Linked DNA regions of Caenorhabditis elegans. The protein of the gene in region 1 interacts with the protein of each later gene in a pairwise test. Each region holds a gene or a part of one and is shown on either strand. Other genes may lie near its edges.

The links. Proteins that work in one complex are often made in the same cells at the same time.
Region 2: the proteins of rev-1 (region 1) and C18E3.3 interact in a two-hybrid assay, tested with the Caenorhabditis elegans proteins (2 studies listed by BioGRID).

The regions. Positions count from the first base shown.
Region 1 is NC_003280.10:7,898,734-7,905,167, reverse strand, and holds rev-1 (DNA repair protein REV1), read right to left. Parts: upstream 4,547-6,434; 5' UTR 4,522-4,546; coding exon 4,405-4,521; intron 4,284-4,404; coding exon 3,873-4,283; intron 3,829-3,872; coding exon 3,679-3,828; intron 3,349-3,678; coding exon 3,225-3,348; intron 3,173-3,224; coding exon 3,001-3,172; intron 2,956-3,000; coding exon 2,517-2,955; intron 2,473-2,516; coding exon 1,971-2,472; intron 1,924-1,970; coding exon 1,733-1,923; intron 1,687-1,732; coding exon 1,290-1,686; intron 1,241-1,289; coding exon 989-1,240; intron 936-988; coding exon 607-935; 3' UTR 501-606; downstream 1-500. Other genes in the region: best-23 (Bestrophin homolog), read left to right, coding at 1-35, 142-250, 300-403; ptc-1 (Protein patched homolog 1), read right to left, coding at 5,460-5,672, 5,723-5,834, 5,882-6,434.
Region 2 is NC_003279.8:4,201,885-4,209,062, reverse strand, and holds C18E3.3 (ULP_PROTEASE domain-containing protein), read right to left. Parts: upstream 5,606-7,178; 5' UTR 5,604-5,605; coding exon 5,529-5,603; intron 5,461-5,528; coding exon 5,339-5,460; intron 5,292-5,338; coding exon 5,165-5,291; intron 5,107-5,164; coding exon 5,007-5,106; intron 4,953-5,006; coding exon 4,823-4,952; intron 4,336-4,822; coding exon 3,752-4,335; intron 3,251-3,751; coding exon 2,600-3,250; intron 2,109-2,599; coding exon 1,667-2,108; intron 1,616-1,666; coding exon 1,471-1,615; intron 1,034-1,470; coding exon 728-1,033; 3' UTR 501-727; downstream 1-500. Other genes in the region: Presenilin hop-1, read left to right, coding at 268-471; snrp-40.2 (WD_REPEATS_REGION domain-containing protein), read right to left, coding at 5,892-5,953.

The DNA.
Region 1 (6,434 bases):
CTGTTTATGTTGAAAGTTTGGATGATGAAATTCGTGTAAGTCTGAAAATCTAAAATTTTGGAACAATCTAAAAATATGATCTACCAAAACCATGGAGTTTTAAATTTGTAGTTTTCAATCTATAGCATAACTTTATTACAGTTACTTCATACAAGTGCATCGTCAAAACTATCAAATCATCCACAACGACAGCATCTTCGGAAATTAAAATTCAATGTAGACGCAATGCAAGTGCAAGCAGTTCCGGGAAGTGGGAATTTCATAAAAAAATATGAAAGTTACTATTTTTTAAATTTCAGATCATCTAAACGAACGAGACGTTTCCGTTTCAACAACTTCAAAACTTTCATTCGCTGATCTGGAAAATTTGGCAAATGGTCCTAGAAATATTCCAAAGTTTTGAGAATGGATTTCAAACTGATTACAAGCTCTTTCCTGTATTGATCTCGACGTCTTCTTACTGGTTTAATATTCACGTCTTCACTCATTCATTCCTTCTCTTTTTGAATTATAAAAGTTTATTCAATGGTCTTAAATATGTTATTTATTCATTTTAATTTAATTATTTTACAGAAAAAGAAAAACAATATTTTACAAGATTTAAATTCAGGTATGTTTAGTGGAATCAATTACAAATACTTCTTTTGGAACAAATGGCTCTGGTGAACTAATTGATGTGTTATCAGTGTTGCTGGCAATCATAGCTCCCAAATTTCGAGTGGTAGCTATGGGAAATTCAAGCAGATCTTTTGATTCTTCTTCGATGAATGGTACCATCAAATGGAATACTGAAAACCAAGCAGTGTCGCATCTACTAGAATCCATCGAAATCTCTTCAAACTTTCTGAATACAGTCTCGAATGCGGAAAGTTTTCCATAGTTTAGCAACGTTGAAAGCATTTCCTGTAAGTTCGTAACACTCTCCTTGGTTGGCTCTGAAAAAATTGATAAAGTTATTCCATGAAACATCAGATTTTGGGTATCTCACCATTTTGAATAATACATTCCAATTCGGCCAGACGATTTTCAACTAATCCATCATCTTCCAAATCTTCCAATTCGAGGTTGTTGTCAGATCGTCCATTGAGAAGTGTGGATTTTACAATTTCAGGAATATCTATGTCATTTGCCACTCTAAAATTAATTTGACGAGGTATGCTTTGCACTTCCAGATCTTCAGTCACAGCTGGAATTATCACAGGTTCTTTATCTAGTTCATCTTCGTTTCGCGGAATAATATCTGAAAATACAGAATGTTTTCAATAAAATTTCACTACTTAAATACTAACTCAATTGTTCGTCAGTTCTCGCCATATTCCCAACTCTAGAGGTCTTCCCAAACATCTCTTGCACTGCCGTTGCCGCATCTTTTTTCAATTTACTTTTCAACTTTCCACAGGTAACTCCAACTCCACGAAGATCTTCTACTTTCGGAGAAACTTTAGCATATAATTTCATAGCTTCTGATGTGAGAGACTCTCCGCGTGTAGTTGGAACGTTTAGATTACACGTTTTGGTAAATGTATCACAAATTCCATGTCCCATGAATTTGGATGTTTGTATAGGAGCATTTGCTGAACGTACCATAAGCTTCAAAGTTATGGATCCTGCGGTTAATTTACTATCGATAAGTTTCCGTTCTAACTCAGCTCCAATAGCTGTCATGAGTTGAATAACTTCACCTCTCTGAAATATTCCATCGTTATACGGACATTTTAATATAATACATTACCTTCGTGAAACGAATACCATAATTGATATCACATGATACTGATTTTCGAACATGAGTAGCCCAAAAATCATCTGGATCTTCTTCAATACCACGACATTGTCGTAATATTTTTGAAGCCAACTTTGGTCCGAATACAGGTACAAGTTCCCGTTCAGTTTTTAATTGTAGTTCACGGCATTTTGTAATATCACCTGTAAAACTGAGAAGTTGATATTTTTATATTAGATACTGGAATTACCAAAGAATGAAGTTAATCTATTCATCATTTCGTATCCAAATCCTGGTAGATCTTTAACTTTTTCCTCGGAAATGAATTCATTTTTCTTATGTGCATTAACCCAAAAAACTCCATCTGGTTTAGCATGTCTTGTTGCAAGTCTTGCTAACAAGCTCGTAGATCCTATTCCAACACTGGCTGGGCATTGAGTCTTCTCTCGTATCACTTTACGGATGTGTTCAGCGAGAATTGTTGGGTCGTTGATTTCGTATTTTTCACAAAAACTGCTCATGTTTATATACATTTCATCGCAGGAGACTGCACGAACCTCCAATGTGTAGCTAGCCAGAATTTCATAAATTTTCCGACTAACTTGCACATAATCCTCAAATTGATATGGTAATAGAGTTAATTGTGGACACTTTTGTAGAGCATCTCTCACGAGCATACCATTTTTGACTCCACAATCACGAGCTGCATAACTGCAAGAAGCCACCTCGCTCATGCTATTCGAAATAGTTCCCTGAAAGATTTATAGTTTGACACGAAGCTTTTAAATTGATTTACCTTGCTATGAGTGATGGCAACTTCTTTGTGTTTCAAATCAATTCGATTTCTGACAGCAACTGAGACGAAGAAACAGTCTAGATCCACGTGGAATACTGTACTTTCCCGAGAAATTTCATTGCTAAGAGACTTCATATCGATGAGTTCTTTCTCTTCAAAACACTTTTCCGTTAGCTTTCCTTCCAGTTTCAAATTTGCCACAAAATCTTTCATATCCTGCGCGAGAGTAGAAATCAAATGAAGACGACTTCTGGCATAGTAATCTCGAATAAAGTTTGGATTCCGGGCATCAGAGAACTGATTCGATGAAGTTGTTTCATTGTTACCACCGGTGTTTCTAGTTGATATTGTTAGAAACTGTTGCATTTGTCCCTTTTCCACCGAACCTTTCTCGTATATCAAAAAATCTCGATAATCGAGTGGTTTTCCAGCAGCTATTCTGAAATACTGGTTTAATCGGAAGAATCGGGTTGATTATATTTACGATTCCGTAATCCAATCAGCTTTAATGAAAATTTCATTTTCTCGAATTCGATTTATTTTTGCTGTAGCAATTGAGGAAGCTATCGTGTATGAAGTAATTCCATGTTGATAATAACAGTGATATTCACCTCCGTGAGAAATCATCAAATCTCTGATAACAAGTGCTGGTGGATCTGAAATAAGTAACTGTAAAATCAGTCGTTAAGTTATGGAATATGAAATTACCTGTATAACCATTCACAAATACCGAGAATCCTTCCATTATTCTAGACACATTCTCTAGTGGTTTCGCATATCCATGATTCACCTGATGGTTAAGTTTAGTGATCTTCATCCGCATATAGTCATTCTGAAAAAAATGATTATTTCCTGTGGGTTATTATCAGTTAAGTGCTAAACTGTCCAAATGTCATAGTAAAACTTTTCAAAAAAGTTGTTTCTTTACAGTCAAGCGTGTTTTGAAAACTGAGAGGCCATACTGGAAGTCGGACAGAAAATTGTCTTTACGAGTTTATAATTTAATTTGGGTTTCGATAGTTTTTATTTAAATATTCTAGGATTTCGAATATACAGCGATGCTCGAAAAAAGTCCACATTTGGAATGAAACTTTTAATTTTACGTGAAAACGAAAAACTTTATTTATAGTAAATGATTTGGTGTTTTGGGCAAAAAACTCACAAAATTATTTATTTCGAAATTTTGTCCATGTATGGTGATGGTTTTCTGTTGATTCCAGTACTCGCCACTATCTGATGAAACAACACCAACTGGGCCATGTGCAGCGGATGTTGAAGGTTCACAATCATATGATTTTGGTTCTAGACGACGCTGTAATCTAGAATATTAACGATTGTTTTAATATTTCTACATACCTTTCTTGGTATAAGTTTGATATTATTTTGAATAGGAACTTCAACCGGTAGCATTGTTCCTTGCTTATCCATGCTATTTCCACCTTCTCTATCCGGATATTCAGCAGCTTCATGTTCTGAGTCAACTTCTTCAATTAAATCACCAAATATGTCTATACTGATATTTGCTGCCTGTTCAATGTCTACTTCTTTTCTTTTCTGATCTTCCGTTCTGAACGATTTTAAAAGATCAGCAAGTGCATCATTATCAGAATTATTTTCAGTTTCATCCTCTTCGTCACTGGATTCTAGCATTCGAGTTATTGTATCATCAGGATTTGCGCGTTTATTTTCATCTTCTAGTACAGTAGTATTCGGACAATTTTCGATCACTGTTACTTGGGAATATCCTGTTATTCCGTCGAATGAACCCTTAAAGAAAGCAGAAGTATTTTGAAAATAGCTATTTAATATTTTTGAAAACTAAATTTAACGATTTCATTGAAATTATTCGACATTCCATCGAACTTTTCGATATATTTGCAGCTAATACCTCATCTGAAACAATTATAGCATCACTTCGTCGTCGATTCACATTAGGAGTCGGAACAAACTTTTCAAAAGAATCATCTGAATCTGGATGATCGGTGAATGGGTCAGGAGAATGCATCATTCATTGTATTGATTTCTGGAATCAATATTTGTTTTCTGATTAATTGCGTCTTTAACCGTAATTCTGTCGACAAGTATAATTTCTCACAGTTCATACTAAAATTTTCTGAAAATAAGAATCGATAAAATGTATGTTTCATGTTAGAAAAAGTTTATTCATCCGAAAAAATTCGAAACAAAAAAATTGGAGATGAGGCGAAGGGACAATAGAAATCGAGAGGGGCAGAGAAAAATCTTGGCTGGTGCTAATAAAATAATTAAATTCCCAAAGCTCGCTGAGATCATTCACAGAGGGGAACAAAACAAACGGCGAAAAAGACCAAGTGGGTGCAATTGAAAGCAATACAAAAAGGTGAACAATACAGATATGTCAATTGTACTTTTTTCTCTAAATTGTACCGTTCCCCTTTTATCACTCGGAGTAAATATTATGCGCATGTTTTTTTCGATTGAGAAGTGGCAATAAATACCCAAAGAAAAAAGAAAACGAGGGTGCCAAAATATTCATCGATATGGATGCAAGAAAATAAAGAAAAATAATACTATAACAGATTAAAGCATTTGTCGTTTGGAAACCGCGCAAAATCTATTCTTTCAGTTTTGAATTTGTTAATTGGGTGCTAGAAATGGTGAAGTGTGTGAAAGTGTCAATTTTATAGTGATCATGTTAATTGCCTATATCTTGGAAATCTCAGTGAAAAAATCAACATAATAACTATAAAAGTGTTATACAGGGCATGGGAAGATCACCAGAAAGTGTGTAGTCGACCGTTAGAAAGAGAGAAAAGACAAAAATAATTTAAAAGAAAATATGACAACGAAACATTGGGAAAAAGGATAAGTTCACAATGCTCTGCATTCATCAGAAAGAAATTTACCCATTTTTACATTTTTGTAAGTTTTTAAGCTCCAAAAACTTGGAGCGAACTACTACTGCTATACAGCTGGCAATCGGCGTGTGTTATTTCCAACTGTTCCTCGATTTCCTCCTGATGTCCTCGTCGTTGGGGGTGCTTGTCTTGAGTACATCACAAGACCACTCGGCTCGTCATCTTCATCAGAATCATCGCCGCCAGATCGAGACGAGTTGGCATTCTTTGGCAAAGGAGGTGGCAGGGTCAATGTTGTCTTTCCACCAGTAGGAGAGATCTAAAAAAAATAAGATGTATACAAGAAAAATAACAAAATTTAGATTTTACCTCTCTCCTTGGGCCAAACCAAGATAATAAAACTGGAAGAAGAATGAGTCCGTTTATGATTCCAATGCAAATCAGAGCCGTCATGACAATAAAGAAATACTTGACAACAAATCTGAAAATAAAACATTCTGATGACATCCATACTTCTGTAAAACTCACTCAAACTCTGAGAATCCAAGCATCAAAATACCGAGAAGTGTGGAGAATGATCCATGAATGACTGGGACAAAAACTCGATCAACTGCAGATGACGTCCGTTGAGATCTTGTTCCGAGCGCCGTCAGGAATGATACAACCACATGAACAGTGAATTCGACTCCAATTCCAACTGCGGTGATCAAAGTTACGGCTGAAACCGGATTGAGCTTGATTCCAACGAGTCCCATGAATCCGGCAAGTTCGCAAGTCATGATTCCGAGAATACAAACAACCATAAGTGCAGCCCATGGATTGAAAAGAAGAACGGAAATGACGCAGAAGACAGAGATGGTAATGATCGAAATGGCTTGCATAAGATTTCCAGTCAAGAAAAGATATTGTTCCCAGAATGTGAATGCGATTCCTTGTGGGAAATTTGGAAGTCCTTGATCGGTAAATCGTTCACAAACACTTCTGATGTCCTTTATGGCATCGACAATCACAGCGGTATCCGTGAGGCCAGTTAAGTAGAATGGAATCTGCGAATATGCAAGTGGCTCAGCAGCTGGGATGA
Region 2 (7,178 bases), on another chromosome or scaffold:
ATTTACCCAATTAAAGATAATTTTTGAATTTTACAGAAAATCCATTAAACTTTTTTAAAACATTTCCGGCAAATCGGCACTTTGCCGGAATTGAAATTTTCCGGCAAATCGGCAATTTGCTAAAAATGAAAATTCCACCAAATCAGCAAATCGACACTTTGCCGGAATTGAAATTTTTCGGCAAACCCGCAATTCGCCGAAAATGATAATTTCCGGCAAATTACCCAAATTGAAAATTTCTGGCAATTCAAATTCTAAGCATTTCAGACGTGCCCACTTCCAACTGTCGTCGCGTGCTTCGTATCCAATCTTGTTGGTTTGACAATTACTCTGCCAATTGTCACATTATCTCAAACTGCACTTCCAGCATTGCCGTTCCCGTTGGCAATTGCAGCAATATTCTACTTCTCCTCCCATATCGCATTAACCCCATTCACCGATCTGTGCACCTCACAGCTAATTTTAATTTAAATTTTCATAATATTGTGCTATTTGTTTTGTGACCGGGTTGTTCTAAAGATGATGTAGTATATAAATATTTACATTTGAAAACTTTGAGCTCAAAAATCAAAACACAAGTAAAACAAAAACAAGAAAAACATTGAAAGGAGATTATTCAAGGGTAAGGGAGGATCATAGAAACAGGGAAGCGAACCGGTGGAAGGGAAAGAAATTGCAACAAAAAACAGAAGAAAATGCATAAAGTTATGAATAAATTATATAGAAATTACAATGAGATCTCACTATTTGATGGAGATGGTGGAGATCGTCTAACCTTCGGCTTTATGTCAAATGCACCATCATAGAAGAAATGTGGTTTGCCATCACTATCCAATTTCAAAATGAACATGGTTCTCACTAAGTCACTCATAATTTTTTTGTATAAAATGTGGGAGTTCTTCTTAATAGTCATAACCACTTCAGTTGGCATATCTGGAAGATCGGATAATGTTGCAAGAAAGCTTTTTCCAATGTCTGCAACTTCGTCATCAGAACTTGTGAAGTCGCCAAGTTTATTTAAATCTATGTTGGCCTGAAAAAAAATCATATTTAATTTTTAATTTCCAAGATATTACGGAAACACTTAATTCTGAGAATGCGTATTGTGCAATAGATCTGACGCGCAAAGTATATCGTAGCGAAAACCGCAGCAATTCTTTAAATGACTACTGTAGCGCTGGTGGCAATTTACGGGAACGATTTACTAACTGGACTTTAGAAACGAATTTATTTTCGATATTTATTTTTTCGTTGGTTGTTGTCATTTCGACGATACTTTAGAAATCGTCAATAAATCGTGACAAAAACAACTCAAAAGTGGGACCAGTGCTACAGTAGTAATTTAAAGAATTACTGTAGTTCCCGCTACAAGATAATTTGCGCGTCAGATGTGTTGCACAATACGTATTCTCAGAATTTCGTGTTCCCGTAATATTTTTCAAGTTAAAAAAAAACAAAAATTCAACTTACCCAGCAGGCTGGAGTTAAACAAGAAACTTGGTCGAAATAATCGATAAAAAATCTGGCATTCATTCTGATGCAAACCATTTTGCTCAGTAGTTCCAGTGGAATAGGCTTATCGCGAAGTTCTTCAATTTGGAGCATCAGTGCTGGGCTGAAAATAGATCTTAGAAAATTCAAAATTCCAAAACCAAAGCTATTATACCTATCTCTTGTTTCTTCCTTTAGAATGAAGTAAGGACAATTTGCATCCAATTGTGAACATACACTATTCACTTTATGTCTCATAAAATGGCCGGAACGCATCCAATCGCGGTAATAGTCTCCGAAAAGTTTCCGTTTAAAGTCATTCTTCACAGTACCGACATCAAACCAATATCTGTTATCAGTTTTATTTGATCTACTCATATACCGCAACTGCTTCGGAAGATGCTCAAGTTCTTTCATTGTTGGCAAGTGATACTGTTTGAAAATATCAGGTTTTTGATTCGAAATCTTCAGTGGCTTGAATTGAAGAGAAATCCGTCTTGCAGTTGGGTATTCGGGAGTTGAGAGATGTTCTAACTGATTCTTTGTAGAGTACATAGTGAATGGAGCTCGTTCCGGTACATTGTTTGTAGCCTTCAAAGAAACTTCTTCAACGTGATCTGAACAAAACAAACATTACATCAATTTTTAAATAAAATTCAAATTCAACAGTTGAACCAGGGATGGGCGGCAAACGATTTTTTTCCGGAAAATCGGCAATCTGCCCATATTAAAATTTCCGTCAAATCGAAAAACCGACAATTTGCCGAATATTTAAACTTTCGGCGAATCGGAAAACCGGCAATTTGCCGAAAACCAAAACTTCCGGCAAATCGGAAAACCGGCAATTTGCCGAAAACCAAAACTTCCGGCAAATCGGAAAACCGGTAATTTGCCGTCCACCCCCAAGTGAATCAATTTCAAAATTTAACAACAAAGCTCACCGTAAATATTAATTAAGAATACTTATTAATTATTATCGATGTTTAGTACAATTTGAGAAAGGGAATAATTAAAATAAAAAAATTAGCAGAATTCTGAAACTAGCTGATATATCTTAATGCACTGAGTTTTAGCCACTCATTATGGATTATGGAAGCTATAAATTTACCTGGTGTTGTAGTCTCAGCAACATGAAGGACTTGACTAAAGTTTTGAGTGGTTGAAATTATTTCAGCATCTTCTTCTTTTTCCTGATCTGGTAGGATCGTTTCATGAGCTGAGCTGTCCTCTATATCGATAAGATCTGTATCATAACTTCCATGTGCAGATGAGATTGTAGAAGATGGTGAATCAGCAATTTCGAGCTGATCTTCTTCTGAATTCGATGTATCTTCTTGTTCCATTTCAAGATAATTATTTTCAGAATCAATATATCCATATTTTTCCATGCTCTGAGAATTGTCCAAGCACTCTTCCGTGTCTTTCAATTCGGAAGACGCTGGTCGCGAGCTTGTCTCGACCAAAGATGGGAAAAAGTCAAAATCGTCATCAGAGTCGATAGCAGGACTTTCCAGTGGAGCAATACTGTCGTATGTAACCTGAGAGTGTGCTTCATGAATTGGGGACATTGTAAAAACGGAAGTTGGTGGAGAAATAACACTGGAAGGTGAATTTCTAGTAGAATCTTCATCTCCAGAGTTCAATCGTGGATTGTTGAAAATTGAGATTGGACGAGGCTCTTCTTCAAATGTTTGAATTCGTTCGATTTCAAGTTCAATTGACGAATCAGTAACAGTATCTGCCACATGCTCAATATCATCTGAAATTGATACATTTACAAGATATTGTCAAAAGTGGAGTAGCGCCAGTGGGAAAATTGTTAAAACCTACTTTTATAGTGCCAAAATGGCCGAATATATCAAAATAAAACTTTTAAAAAATTTTGAAATTTTTTTATTTAATGTCAAAAGGTGACAATTACTCAGTTTTTGCCAATAATAATTTTGGAAGTCGACTAAATAAATTGTTTTCCTACATTTTTTATACTGTAATTTTGTTTTAATAAATCGTATTAAAACATTGTAGAGGTCGGAACATGCGAAATTACTTTGGATTTCCTTAAAGCCTCATACTTTTCAAAATTTATAGTTAGGCAATTTGATAAAACTTTGACCGGAAATTATGAAACATCTAAAAATTTTTGGAATGTTTTATTATGATATTCCGTCATTTTGAATCATTATTATATTTAAACCAAATCCCGATTGGCTCTACTCCACCTTTAATAGGTGAATTCTGAAAAACAAATAAAATTACTCACCGACGCTTTTCGACCGTTTTCTAGCTGCTTCTTTAATCCTCTCGTTTTCTAACATTTCGAGATATGTTTTAGATTCAAGTCTTGGATCACAAGGAATCGTTGATCTAATGCAAAAAGCAGATTTTTGAGTGCGTAATCGTTTTGAGTCATCTTCAGAAATTGGATCATTCTCAGAGAGTCTCTTTCTTCCTTGTTGTACAACCTCCATAGCTTGCTTAATCTGTTGAAAGTTGACAGTTGTTCCGATCTTTTTAAGCAGTTGAAACACAGAAAGATCCTCTGACTCGGGAGAAGAGCCATCTGTTGCGATTACGGTAGGTGAACTGTTGCCAGAAGTATCTTCACTCCTACTCTTTCTTTTCTTCTTCTTGTGATGCTTTGACTTTTTAGACTTTTTGATTTTTGGAATTTTCGAAGATCTTTTACCCATTCTAGAAGATTTATCTGCTGGGATTTCATTTTCTCCATTCATATCATTGGGACCAACTGTGCGAGAAGGATTATGTTGATTATACCAATTAATTTCGTCTTCCAATCGTCCTCCGCCATCAATTTCCCACATGATATTATAGCCGTATAGATATCTGAATATTGAAAGTTCATAGACATGGTGTAGCGAGTAAACATCCGTTTCTGACACCCAATTATCTAGTCGCTTGCTATTATTGATAATAAAGTTTTCTGACGACACTTCCTTTTGGCATAAACTACAAATTATCAAACATACATCTCATTACTAAACGAAGATGTGCTATTACGGTAAATGCTGAGAATTCGTATTGTGCAACATATTTTATGCGCAAAATATCTCGAAGCGAAAACTACAGTAGCTCTTTAAATTACTACTGTAGCGCTGGTTTTAATTGATAAAATATTAAAAGAAAACACAAAAATGAAAAAAAAAATAATTTGATACCGCTGCCACAGTTCGAACATAAATTCGTTTCCATCGCTACAGTAGTCATTTAAAGAATTACTATAGTTTTCGCTACGAAATATTTTGCTCGTCTAATATGTTGTACAGTACGCAATCTCCGAACTCGGTGGTCCCGTAATAAATAGGTAACTCACTCAACAGCAGCTTCCAAAAAACTTCGATAGAATCTATGAGCATTGTGGAATTCAGAAATATTAGAATCTTCCTCTAGTTTTCTTGGTAGGCCACTTCCAATTTTCGATTCCTTGGTTCGCTTTAAACAAACTGAAGTTTAAATGTTAAATTAGATAAATTCTACACGAGAAAAAATCTACGAACTCTGAATTTGATACAATCGAATGACCACAATCATTGTATGCTTTCCCTCGGGTTGTTCTCTCGAATAATAATGCTGAGCACAGCAGTTTTCTGGTAATATCTGGAAAATTTCAACTTTCATTTAAGAAAAATTACTTGCAAAATAGATAGTAAGATACCCATTCAGATGGGAAAAATCGATGATCAAATTGGCATAGACTACGTGTCGCTTTGTGAAGAAAATCTGATATATAATCTACCATTCCCTTGGCTATGAATGTCTTATTCTTTGTACTATTTGTAATTCTGAAATAATAAAAATGAATTTAAAATCTTTCCATTTCTTTGCTCACTTTAATCCAATAAGTTTGATTTCTTCCTTAACTCGCCAGGAAAATCCTTTTGTCTCTGTTTCCGAAGTTGAATCGACACCATAAACTATATTCCATGTCTCATTATCTGACATATTTTGAAGCTGAATAAAAACTATGTTCAATTTGAAAAGATACATAAAATTCAACAAAAATAATAAAGTTATCTAACCCTGTCGAAAAATGACCCAATCGGCCATTTTGGGGACTCTGACGTCGACGGATTATTATCTTCACTACTGGTCATGTCTGAAATGTTGTAAGTTAATGCGATGAGTACTGAAAAAAGTTTTCAGTAAATGAAAAAAGGGAATAAAAGAAAAAAAAAGATTATCTGAATATTGTGCTCATAGATCGGAAATGTAAGATTCTAGACGATATGTGGGTGTAGAACGATGAGCGTAAGAAGAATAGATTCTTATTATGAAAGGAAATGAAAGAAACAGAAACAAGTAACAACAATAAAGGTGATAAAAATAGGATGTAAAATAAAAATGAAGACGTCAGAATCTGATTGTTTGAAATTTTAAAAAGTTTAATAATCCTCCAGGTCGAGTTCTCCGAGGAAAATGGTCTTGTCGCTTCCAGCAGAGAGAACTGAAAAATGTTTGGTTTGGAGATTACAAATGACTTCCTTTCCGAGTCAAAATAAATTTTAAATAATTTTTAATGATGTATGTATATTTGATTTTTTTTTTGAAATGTCATGTTCATGCCTTGCACAAAATTTTTGATAAATTTTAATTTTTTCTGGATAAATTTTCATGAAGAGGGGAAATTAAAAGTATAAACATACAGATGGTGAAAAAAAGTATTTGAGAAACATTGGAGAATTACACTGCTTATCAACGTTTCTGCACGTTTTTGAGTCTTATCAGAGAGGCATTGTTGTATTTTTCAACAACTTAGTAAATACATACGTAAATGTACATTTGGGAAATAAATGTTAAAATCTTTGGAAGTTGTCGAATCAAGAGATTTCTAGAAAGTGGCAACAAAGTTTGTATGATGATATACAACTTTGAAGCTTTTGGAATTAAATTATCACAATTGATATATAGTAGTGCAATTTTATCGATTACAACAAATTGTTGCGTATTACAAATCGAAACAACAGAAACGTAGCAGCTGAGCACGCATTCCTCCAAAAAAAAACTGCTTCATCATCGATCTTTAGCAAATAGAGAAGACCGCGCCGTAATAATATAATTCATCGAGTGTAGTAGTAGTAGTAGTAACTACGGTGATATATTTCCAACGAGAGCATTTGTTATCCATAGTTAGCGACATGGCTAGAGAACGAGTAAGAGCGGAGAAGAAAGAGGTAAACTTTCACGCACCACCACGTCTATTACATTACCAATTTCATATTAGTGACAACGGCCGAATAGATGTAGCGGTGTTAGGCTGTATACTTCACAAAGAATCCAATTTTTTTTGTTTTCCTATGGGAGCAAATTAGTAGTTGGAATAAACAATCTTATTGACAACAAGTGATACCGAGATATATATATATATATGTGTGTATACATATATATATATATATATATAGGTAACTAGAACTACTTTTCTCAAATATACATTTCATATAATAAGCAGAAAGGAATACAGCTTGCTTGTAGCTTAATATATAATCACATATGCGAACTTGAAAAGTTCAGAATGACTTTTTTGAATTGTCTGAGAGCTTACTACTGAACGAAGTTCTTTCAATGAAAAAAATAATGAATGGATCCTCCTGTTTCAATCTCGAAGCGATCTCGATTCGGTCTTCAAGGGGAAATTAGGGTGCACCACATGAAGAAATATTACACAAAGGTCA